Linked DNA regions of Oryzias latipes. The main gene of each other region encodes a partner of the protein of the gene in region 2 in a complex. Links are inferred from orthologs where the notes say so. Each region holds a gene or a part of one and is shown on either strand. Other genes may lie near its edges. The genes, in order: tmem107, tctn1 and mks1.

What was found.
Region 1: tctn1 (region 2) and tmem107 share a complex: the UniProt entries of both Homo sapiens proteins name them as parts of the tectonic-like complex. The link is inferred for Oryzias latipes from reciprocal best matches to the Homo sapiens genes TCTN1 and TMEM107.
Region 3: tctn1 (region 2) and mks1 share a complex: the UniProt entries of both Homo sapiens proteins name them as parts of the tectonic-like complex. The link is inferred for Oryzias latipes from reciprocal best matches to the Homo sapiens genes TCTN1 and MKS1.

The regions. Positions count from the first base shown.
Region 1 is NC_019874.2:18,549,592-18,553,347, forward strand, and holds tmem107 (transmembrane protein 107), read left to right. Parts: upstream 1-1,514; 5' UTR 1,515-1,821; coding exon 1,822-1,908; intron 1,909-2,238; coding exon 2,239-2,306; intron 2,307-2,387; coding exon 2,388-2,488; intron 2,489-2,729; coding exon of another isoform or gene 2,730-2,826; intron 2,827-2,902; coding exon 2,903-2,999; intron 3,000-3,162; coding exon 3,163-3,232; 3' UTR 3,233-3,584; downstream 3,585-3,756. Other genes in the region: tripartite motif-containing protein 46, read right to left, coding at 1-253, 964-1,023. UniProt on the Homo sapiens protein: Plays a role in cilia formation and embryonic patterning. Requires for normal Sonic hedgehog (Shh) signaling in the neural tube and acts in combination with GLI2 and GLI3 to pattern ventral and intermediate neuronal cell types.
Region 2 is NC_019868.2:27,631,572-27,634,018, reverse strand, and holds the end of tctn1 (tectonic-1), read right to left. Parts: coding exon 2,429-2,447; intron 2,345-2,428; coding exon 2,219-2,344; intron 2,148-2,218; coding exon 2,062-2,147; intron 1,987-2,061; coding exon 1,849-1,986; intron 1,767-1,848; coding exon 1,613-1,766; intron 1,522-1,612; coding exon 1,390-1,521; intron 863-1,389; coding exon 716-862; 3' UTR 509-715; downstream 1-508. UniProt on the Homo sapiens protein: Component of the tectonic-like complex, a complex localized at the transition zone of primary cilia and acting as a barrier that prevents diffusion of transmembrane proteins between the cilia and plasma membranes.
Region 3 is NC_019872.2:25,018,211-25,021,866, reverse strand, and holds part of mks1 (Meckel syndrome type 1 protein), read right to left. Parts: intron 2,554-3,656; coding exon 2,449-2,553; intron 2,038-2,448; coding exon 1,929-2,037; intron 1,814-1,928; coding exon 1,757-1,813; intron 1,324-1,756; coding exon 1,281-1,323; intron 1,199-1,280; coding exon 1,136-1,198; intron 1,062-1,135; coding exon 991-1,061; intron 1-990. UniProt on the Homo sapiens protein: Component of the tectonic-like complex, a complex localized at the transition zone of primary cilia and acting as a barrier that prevents diffusion of transmembrane proteins between the cilia and plasma membranes.

The DNA.
Region 1 (3,756 bases), on a different chromosome or scaffold from region 2:
TGAGGACCCGCTCCAAGCGGTCAGGAGTCCTGGGTGTGGGTCTGTGAGTTTGGCGTGGGGACCGAGTGTTCGGCGAGGAGGCTGGTGATCTGGGTTCCGGAGGGAGGTCTGGAGGAGGGTAGCCTCTTTGTACCAACACCTCGGCCGCGCACAGCAAACACACACTGTGCTGGCATGGCAGGAGGACGGGCTGCTTCACGATCTCGTCACACACCGGGCACAGCAGCTCCTTTTCCATCATCTTCATGTTGGACTGGAGAAGAGGGAAGAGGAAAGTTCAAGAAGACAACAGAGCTGCGACTTGATTTAAAGAAAGGAAATGATGGCAGTGATGAAGGAAATATCTAGATGAACTCTGGTTGTGTGCCGTTTATTGCACAGGACAAGAAGGAAAGAAGAACGTAACCTCCATGATGCTTAGCAGTCCTCCTGTGATTGCTTCACTGCTTCCTATTTCTAAGAGTAAATTGGCTGAGACATTATTTTTAATAAAAAAAAACAATTCAAACAATGCAGAAACATTCTGTTTGCCATTGATTGTTGCTTCTTTTTTTTTTAGGTTGTGGTGGCCCCTTTCCATTACTGCAGCCACAAGGCGCGGCATCCGGTTTCTATGACAACGCACATCTTCCTCTGGCCCTGATTTTATGCTATTTGGCAACATTCTTAGGTTCTTATATCTATTAAAAATGAATTATGTGGTCGTTGCGACTGTATATTTTCTATTGCCATTCACCACCTGACTGTGGCTTTCAGCCTATTCCGGGTTATTAAAGCGATGACAAAACATGTTTGTAAACGGTAGAAAAATGCTCCGCATTCTTATTTCATAGCCATGATTGTCCAGATCAACATACTATCAATAAAGCAAGTTATATGTAAGACTACATTATTGTTTTTCCTCTCTTAGATGTAGCACGTTTGAAATGGCTATATTAGAATAAACCGGCGTCGCACACTTACACTGATACGAACCAGCGCGTCCATGACAGAGGTAAAGGTTTGGAAGTCCTCTTCTGCCATGCTCTGTTGTTCTGATGTGCACGCTTCCAAAGAAAAAATGTTTCGTTTAAAACGATTATTAAGTGGGTGTGAAAAATAATCCCCGGCTGTTTTGTAGCAAACACTAGGCCCTGACGTGCACAGATAGCTGTGCTTGAGGTGTGCTGCTCAATCTCTGTCGTCTATCCAAATGCGAATGGAATGGTTGCTGAAACTGGTGGAGGGGGGTGGGGGCGTTTTGCCCCAAAATGTTAGCTTTATCGGGGAGCGTTTAAAAAACATTCTTTTAGAAAATAAAAACAAAAAAAAATCGGCTTTTCTACGTTCTTTAGATACGCGAGGCTATGTTCATCCTACAATCACACGTTAACTTTGTCATGTTTTATTTTTGTGTGTGTGTTGTCGTTAGATGCTAGTGTTGTGTGCTGCTTAACAACAAAGGCGATGGGTCGCATCCACTTCCCTTTTGTGTCCGGAACGTTTGGAAGGTGGATGTTTTTACGGGTCGCAATATTGGATGCACCCAGCCACTGGCTGTTGTAGCAACCCAATGCGACACCGGGGTGTGTTAAATTTCTATGTATAATTTTGTTTAGAAAAAAGACTATTAAAGAGTAAAATTTTAATTTTATAAGTTCATTGGCTTTAAAAATGCTTGATTATCATTTTTGGATTATTTATTGAACCGCGGTTGCGTTGATATACCGCGAACCAGGAGCGACGACTGTTGTGTGAGATCTGTGAACTCCAACGTGACCGTTTGGCTTTAAAATTTAGAATTTTCTAGCATTTCTGACACTTCTGTGAACCAGAAACAACATGTCTTCTATTAGCAGTCTAATTCCTGCGCGGTTTCTCACCATCATAGCTCACCTTGTCATCGTCATCACAATCTTTTGGTCCAGGGTAAGTAAGGACAGTCCGTGTTGTTGTTAAAGCTTGAAGGACGACTCAAGCTGCCATAGAAATATTTTTTATTATTATTATTAATATTATTATTGTTTTTTGTAAATATCAATAACGTGTAGTTTGTGATTTTAAAATAAAGAACAAAAGTTTTTAAAAAAATCGTGAAATAGAAATAAATTCTACTCCACAAAATATTTTTCCTAAACTGCAGAAATATAGATTTTTGTTTGCTGCAAAAAGTTTATTTCTCCTTTTTTTTATAAACAATTTTTTATCTAGAAATGTTACCATAATCGGCTATTTTATGTATTTGTTTCTGTTTTCTAGGAGAATAATGTGAAGGCATGTTTGCCTTTGGAGTTTACTCAGGAGCAGTATGACACAGAAGACAGAAAGTAAGTAACAAATGATTGAAAATATATGAAAAAATCTTGAATGCTCACATTCTAACCCGCATCCCTTTGGTTATTGTTCAGGTTGGTTGTAGCCTTGTCAGCCACTCTTGGTCTGTTTGCTATCGAGCTAGCAGGCTTCTTTTCAGGAGTCTCCATGTTCAGTTCCAGCCAGGGTCTTCTGTGTATCCTTTATACTGACAGTGATGATTCATATTTGTCATGGTCATTGATACTGAACTATTGATTCACAATTGTGAGGAAAATAAAGATTTTCAGATATTGTCTTTTCTCCAGCAGCTCTAGCTTCTAAATGAGCATCTGGTTTATAGCAGAAAACATGATTTACAAGAATAAATGAATGGATTAAACAATGCTTATTAGTCATTAGTTACAATTCCGTAACTAAGAACTTGTCTGCTATAGCAACAGGAGTCCATGCCAGTGCCTCTGTGGCTTTGCTCTTTTTTCTGTTTGAGCAGTGGGAGTGTGACATCTACTGGTGGATCTTTGCTATTTGCAGGTTAGTCTTTTGACGCCTAGCAAATCCGTTTTATCCTTTTTTCCCCAAAGTTTTCCCTGACAGCTGCTCCTTTCAGCATTAGCTGTCCACTGCTCCGCATCCGTATCTTTGTCTTTCTTTGTGTTTGAACAATGGGAATGCTGGACTTACTGGGTGATTTTTGCCACCTGCAGGTTGGTTCGCCTGCATGCTTGTTTTCAATGAATAGTTGGCTTTTAGAAAGACAGCATACTGTAACAGTCACTCTTATTTTGAAGGAATTTGAATGCATTTAAGGATTGTTCTTTTATCTTTCTGGATTTCTATTAATTTCTTTTTCTATTTCTCATCTTTCAGTGTCTTGCCAGCTTTTGTGGAGATTCTTCTGTTTATTGCGGTTTTTGGACTGAAGAAGAAGCCGTTATGAAGAGGAGTTGATTCAGATTGAATGGATGAACGCTTCCATTTGTTGCTACAAGACAGTAGCTGCAGAAATTCAGTTATTAGATCACCTTAAAAAGGGGCCAACATTGTTAGAATTTCTTCAGCAGGCATCAATAGATCCAGAAAGAATGTTTTTTTTTTCAATCTTTGTAAATATATTTTGAACTATGTAATTACAAAAAATAATTATACTATGTTGTTTGTTTTGAATAAGTTGGAGAGTTAGCAAAAGTTTAAAATGTAAACCAAGTTTTTTGTTGTCAGTAGTGTATTTGTTTCTCATGTAAAGCTTTTCAACGCTAAATCCAAAATACATTTATACTTTTTTAAATAAGTCTTATTTCTCTCATTGTATCTATCTTTATCCTCATTTGGTGACTTAATTGTCAGAGAAATATTAACCAAACTGAGCCAGAAGATAAATTAAAGTCGGGCGACAAGAGTATCCAGAACCGCAAGGTTACAAAACATGAAACAGTAACTTCATTTTTGTGCAGCTATCAAAAA
Region 2 (2,447 bases):
GTTCAAAAACATGCTTCATAGATTATTTTGTGTCTCTAAATTGCCACTAAGTGTGCATGTGTGGCCCTGGTCAGTAGCTGGGATAGGCTCCAGCAACGCAGTGACCCTAAAAGGGATTCAGTGAATTCTGAAGATGGATGTATCTTTTGTGGGCCGACTTGTCTTAACTAGAAATATCTTTAATTAAATAAGTCATTTTATCTCAGTAAAATTTTTAACTTTTCATTTATTGTGTCTTATTTTTATAAAATAATGTCAGCTATGAACTCTATAGTTGCAGTTACTTAATCTTAAAAAAAAAACAAAGTGAAAAAGGAAAAGGCAGTTCTGTATTTATAATTAAATTCAAGTTTCAGTCTCATAACCACATGAGCTTCTGACACAAACGTTATTTTATTCATATATACTAATACTTTTAGGCTTGAAGCTCTGCTTGTGGTCAGTTTTAATGCAAACTCTGCTCTCGTATGATGATTAACTCGGGTTCATGTCAGCTTTTTCCTGAGCTCCCCCCCCCCCCCCCCCCCCCCCCAAAAGTGAGATTTCTGTGTCTCTGGAACTAAAAACTCCTAAAGATTTATAACTTGAACTTCTCCTTTCTGCCTTTTTTTTGGTTAAAAAACAAAAACAGGTTTAAATAAGACTTTTGATTGAAAAAAATAATTTATCAAATCTTATTTACATAAATTACACCACAAAGCCTGCAGGCGTCTGTTCAAACAAAGGGGAAAAAGAAGTTGAAGGGAAGTTTGGCGTCGATGGTGGGCGTGGCTCTGTAACCAGGAAGTGCGTCTGCAGAAACTGGAACGAAGGCCACAGAGCTTCTGACCGGCAGGCTGCCGCCGCCGCCGCTCAGCAGAGGCTGCGGAAGACGGAAAGCAGAGGGTTAGAGTTCATCCCACCTGGAGACGCAAACGTGTCGCTTTATGACAAGACGTTACATAAAAGTTGCAGGAGAGTTCGTTTGTGGGCAGAATTTCCTGTCTCTCATCTCCAGAATATGTTTGTTTTTTTGTTTCTAACAAATATCTCAACTCGATCTAAAACGGTTTGAGTCCACCGTAACAAAACCGCCGCAGTCTCAGTCAAAGACATTCAACAACCGTCCCAGACGGATGACAAACGCTTTGATTTGATTTCTGTCTGTTGAAATGATGAGTCTGATGGAGTAAGTGTGATAAAAGGTCAGGAAGTGATCATTTAGCATGAAGCTGTGAGAGCAGACGGCGTCTTTTAAGGCATCATTCTTCGTCCTGACGTTTGTGTCTGAGGAGGCGGAGCCTAGCCGCTTTTGTCTTTGGATAATCTAAATTTATTCCCAAACCTAAATGTTCTGTGTTTTCTAAGTCTAAAGTCTGAATTCTGAACCTGCGGCTCCTCAAGTCTCACCAAACTGCTGCTGTTGGTCTGAATGATCTCCCGGATGCTCACTATCTGGGCCTGGGGGTTCTCCAGGGATCCATATTTGGTCCATTCGATCTCTAGATGGAGTGAGAGCGGGAGGCTGCAGCTTTGGTCCTCCTGTGAGTCACAGTCACGGCGGAGACGAGTCAAACCGGAGTGTTTGTGGAGCGGAGACGCCCGGCAGAAGATGGGGTCACGGCGGTCTCACCACAGGACTGAAGCTGCTCTGGATGGAGACCCAGTCTAGCTGCTTGTTCAGCGGGGAGTTTCCAAAGGAAGCCACGTACTGCGGGTAGTTTGGTCCTCTGAGGACGTCCAGGAGCTGCTGAAGGACCAGCGAGCAGTTGGCTGCGTCATCCAGCCTGTGCAGATCAGAGAGGTCAGAGGGTCAGAGGTGACCTGAAGGCCACAGACGGCGTGCTGACGGGAGCGGGACGCGTTTGCCTCAGCGTGCAGCCGGACACGGCGTTCACACCGAAGAGGACCGGGGAGCGCCGGTGAGGACCACGCAGGCAGTCCTGCTCGGCGGAGCTGTGGAGCAGAGACAGAGCATCTCTGAGCTCCGTGCTTCTGCTGATCCCTGTGGAGAACGCGGTCAAGGCGCAGAACGGCAGACAGGCGTGAAGAAACCGTCTCTTCTTCTCTGTGGAAGGATATTCTGCGGTTTTCGTTCCAGACAGGAGAGGGCGTCCGACCACATAGCCGGGATTTCCGCTGAGACGAAGAGCCAGCTCGCCGCCGTCCTGCAAACGGCAGACTAACGTCACGGTCATGTGACCAGAGACCGTTGGCGAGTGAGGATGTGCTGCAGCACCTGGACAAATGTAGCCTGGAACTCCTGCTCCAGCAGCACCGAAGCTCCGCGGATGAACCCCAGCACCACGGAGACGGCAGCGTTCACCACCTCGCCCGCCGCGTTGTACCGGATCACATAAACTACCTGGAGAGACAAAGTTCTTCAAAAATCCAATCGCCCAAAACGACTCTGACGTTTCCGAAGAACGGAGACGCTTCGACAGTTCACCTTCAGCGCCACACGGGCG
Region 3 (3,656 bases), on a different chromosome or scaffold from region 2:
TTGTTTCTCTTTCGGCTTTTCCCATCAGGGGTCGCCACAGCGAACGAGCCGCATGGTAAACTTGGCAATGTTTTACGCCGGATGCCCTTCCTGACGCAAGCCTCTCAAAGCAACCGGGCTTGGGACCGGCACAGAGGTAGAGAAGGGAACAGGGAGCAGCCCGGATTTGAACCTGGGTTTCAATTCAATTCAATTCAATTCAATTTTCTTTGTATAGTCCAAAATCACAACAACAGTCGTCTCGATGGGCTTCGAAGTAAAACATGAACTTCCACAGACGGAAGGCGCCGCAAACCAGCACGAGCTAAACCGGCTCCCTAGTCTCTTACATGCAAGCAATCAAGATTTTTTTTTTTCTAAATGTAAGCCATTAAGTATCAGAAAATATACAGGAATGCATTGTCAGTACAAAACCGAGATGCACCTTAAAGCAACAACCACTTGACAAACTTGTTTTTTGTCTCTACACATTTACAGGGCCTTTTTCCTTTGGGCATCTAGCTTAAAAGGGACGCCCAGTCAAGACTTGCACATTTGACTTCAGTTGTACAGCAGATGCCAAACCCTGTTCTTTAACCAGACTTGGGACAGGCACATGGAAACACTGGAGAGTGCCCACTGTGTGCCCGCAGTCATTTACAGCACATAGTAGTCCCAGACAATCTCTCATTAAAGAAACAATCAGGCGTTACCCCGGTTAGCTTCTGGGGACTGGTGTGTCCAGGGTGGCAAAGCCGTTTATGGATTCTTTTATTTCCAGTTACAGAATTTTGCAGACAGACAGCAAGTTGTGGCTGAGCTTTATGCTTTAACTAAGCCTCTGCTGCACTCTCCTACACTGATGCTCTTACTTTTCCAGTCTTTTAAAGGTATGTTTCGGCAGAGACGTTCATTGTCGACTCAGCAATTGCTAGTCTTGAAGACTTTTTTAGATAAACTGTTGTGGAATTGTGTAGCTTTTCAAGCTAAGCGTATGCAAAACGTTCACACCTTTTCAAGAGACTTGGTCCGACAGGTCTGGGTGACCTCTGATAGAGACTGAGAAGGCAAACTGGACCAATCTGAAAGAAAAACATCAGTTACAGCTAAAGAGGCAAAAACAACAATCAAACAACTACTGATACTTAAGACTTACTATTGGGCAATTCCAAAAAGAAGTGTATGTACAAGTTGTCATATTCAAAGCCTTGAGCTGAGACTGTAAAAAAATAGTAGTTATTAATTCTAAACGTGTATTATATATATATAACTGCTAAAGTTAGCTCTGCCTTTTGACTTACCTATTTCTCCGTTCATCAGGTAACGCAGTGTACCTGCAGGAGGCTAAACAACACACATCTCATAGCTCACAAACCTAAATACAAGTCAACATTTACTCAAGTGATAACTATCCTTAAACCTTAATCCTTAAACCTTTTTTTGGCTAAAACTCCTCAAATGTAAGAATTTGCTCTTTAGTATATAGTTGATAGATCATAACATACTTGTCTTTTTTTTAGACCATGGTAAGCATTGAAAATTTGAATTAAAAACGTTACATTAAAACGCCTTACCAGCAATTAACGACATTTATTCAACGGAAACAATAACATACAGGCTGAGACTGCAAGAGTCACAATAACACCGAATGTGGAAAAAATGGACACTTTTCAACAAATAGACACAGGATTGACCTCTGTTTTGAATGTAGTTTGTGGTTTGTTTTCATGTAACAAAAAATCAATAAAAATAAAGTTTAAAACAAAAAACGCCTTACCATTTCAAAGTCCTGTCCAACAAGACCACTGAGGAACTCTTTGTGCCTCACATACAGCTATAAAGAGGAGGGACAAAGTTGATCCTGATTACAGCTTTCATCTTCCATTTTAGCAATAAAAATGTTCTGAATCTCTTTCCTGGTTTATTAGAAAATGCTGATATTGACTCACATCTTTATACATGTTCTGCTCCTTGTTTTTTTCCTCTGGCTTCATGCTTTTTGATACGTTCTCAAAAGTAAGACGCCATATTTCTCGGTTTTCTCCCTCAGCGACAATCCTGTCCAACGACACAAACGTCCGGTTAAATGTCTGATTCACTCTATTATTTTTGCTGTGGTTTTAAATGTACTTTGCTTTTTTCTTTTTTTAAACATACAATCGTTTTAGGATTTGCAGCTTACTGCTGCCATTCTACTCATCCCTTGTGCTATCCTAGGCACTTTACCATTGGGAGTTGGGTCATCTAGACCCACTATTCAGTGCTCTGAACTTTTTTTCTTCAATGATTTGTGATCTTCACTGGTGTCCATGGATTACATGAAATCTTTCCACCTTTATCCACCTTTGTCATGGTAGGAATTACACGTCAATGCAAGGGTGGGGTCATCTAAGATAGCACAAGGGTTAAATGATACGCTAAAAAATGTAGGATTCATTCTCAGCCATCACAGAAGCCTTGTAAACTTGCCTGTAGGGCTCTCGGCCTTTGTTGAAGTCAGGTTTTACAACTATAGTTCCATGGCCGTCGGTTTTTATAGTTATCAGCAGGCACTCGTTCTCTTTTTGACCAAGCCTGAAAATTCACAATAAACATCCTGTCAAATGGTTAGTAGAGCTTTGCACTGGCCAGCTCTGCATGTCATGAGATTAAAAAGTTTACCTCTTACAACCCTTGTGCTGTCTTGTGGGGTATGTGCATCTGGACCCCACAAAATAGCACAAGGGAAAATATCATACAAAACATCAATGATTTGTCTGGTTTCAGATGTAGAAAATACATGTAGAGAAGCTTTATCCTCAGTCTAAGTACCAATAATAATTTACTTAATTTATATAGCACTTTTCGAAAACGAGATTACTAAATTCTGTACAATTAATATGAGACAAAATCCGGATTACAAACAGTTTACAGTATGTAGTAATAAAACCCAGCACACACACAAAACAGTGATAGCAGTTAAAATCAATGAATCAATAAAAAAAAAAAAATTTAAATAAATCCTATGTTTAAATTTAAGAACCGGTAAAATCATTAAAAGCACTCCTATAGAGGTGGGTTTTTAAAAGAGATTTAAATAATGGTAGGGACCCAGCGAGCCTGATCTCTTCAGGGAGACTGTTCCAGAGTGTTGGGGCTCTTACAGCAAAGGCCCTGTCTCCCCTGATCTTCAATCTAGATTGTGGGATTGTTAAAAGGCCTTTTGCCGAAGATCTAAGATTGCGACCAGGTACGTAAGGAATGAGGAGATCGGCTATATATTTAGGGGCCAGACCACAGAGTGCTTTAAATGCACTATTAATGCATCATTAAAATCTATTCTAAAATGGACTGGGAGCCAGTGCAAAGACGCTAAAACTGGAGTGAGGTGGTCTCTCATTCTGGTTTTGGTTAGGAGTCTGGTGGCCGCATTTTGGACTAACTGGAGTTGATACACACTCTGCTGTGAAAGACATGTGTAGAGTGCGTTACAATAGTCCAGACGGGAAAAAATAAAAGCATGAATCACCATCTCAAGACATTTTTTTGATAGGAGAGAGGTTATTCTGTATAACCTTTGTATTTGCCAGAAACAAGATTTGACCACAGATTTAACATGGGTCTCCCCATTCAAATTGGTATCAAATTTCACTCCCAGATTTCTGCAGCTTGAAGAAACATTGTTAGACAAAGACTCC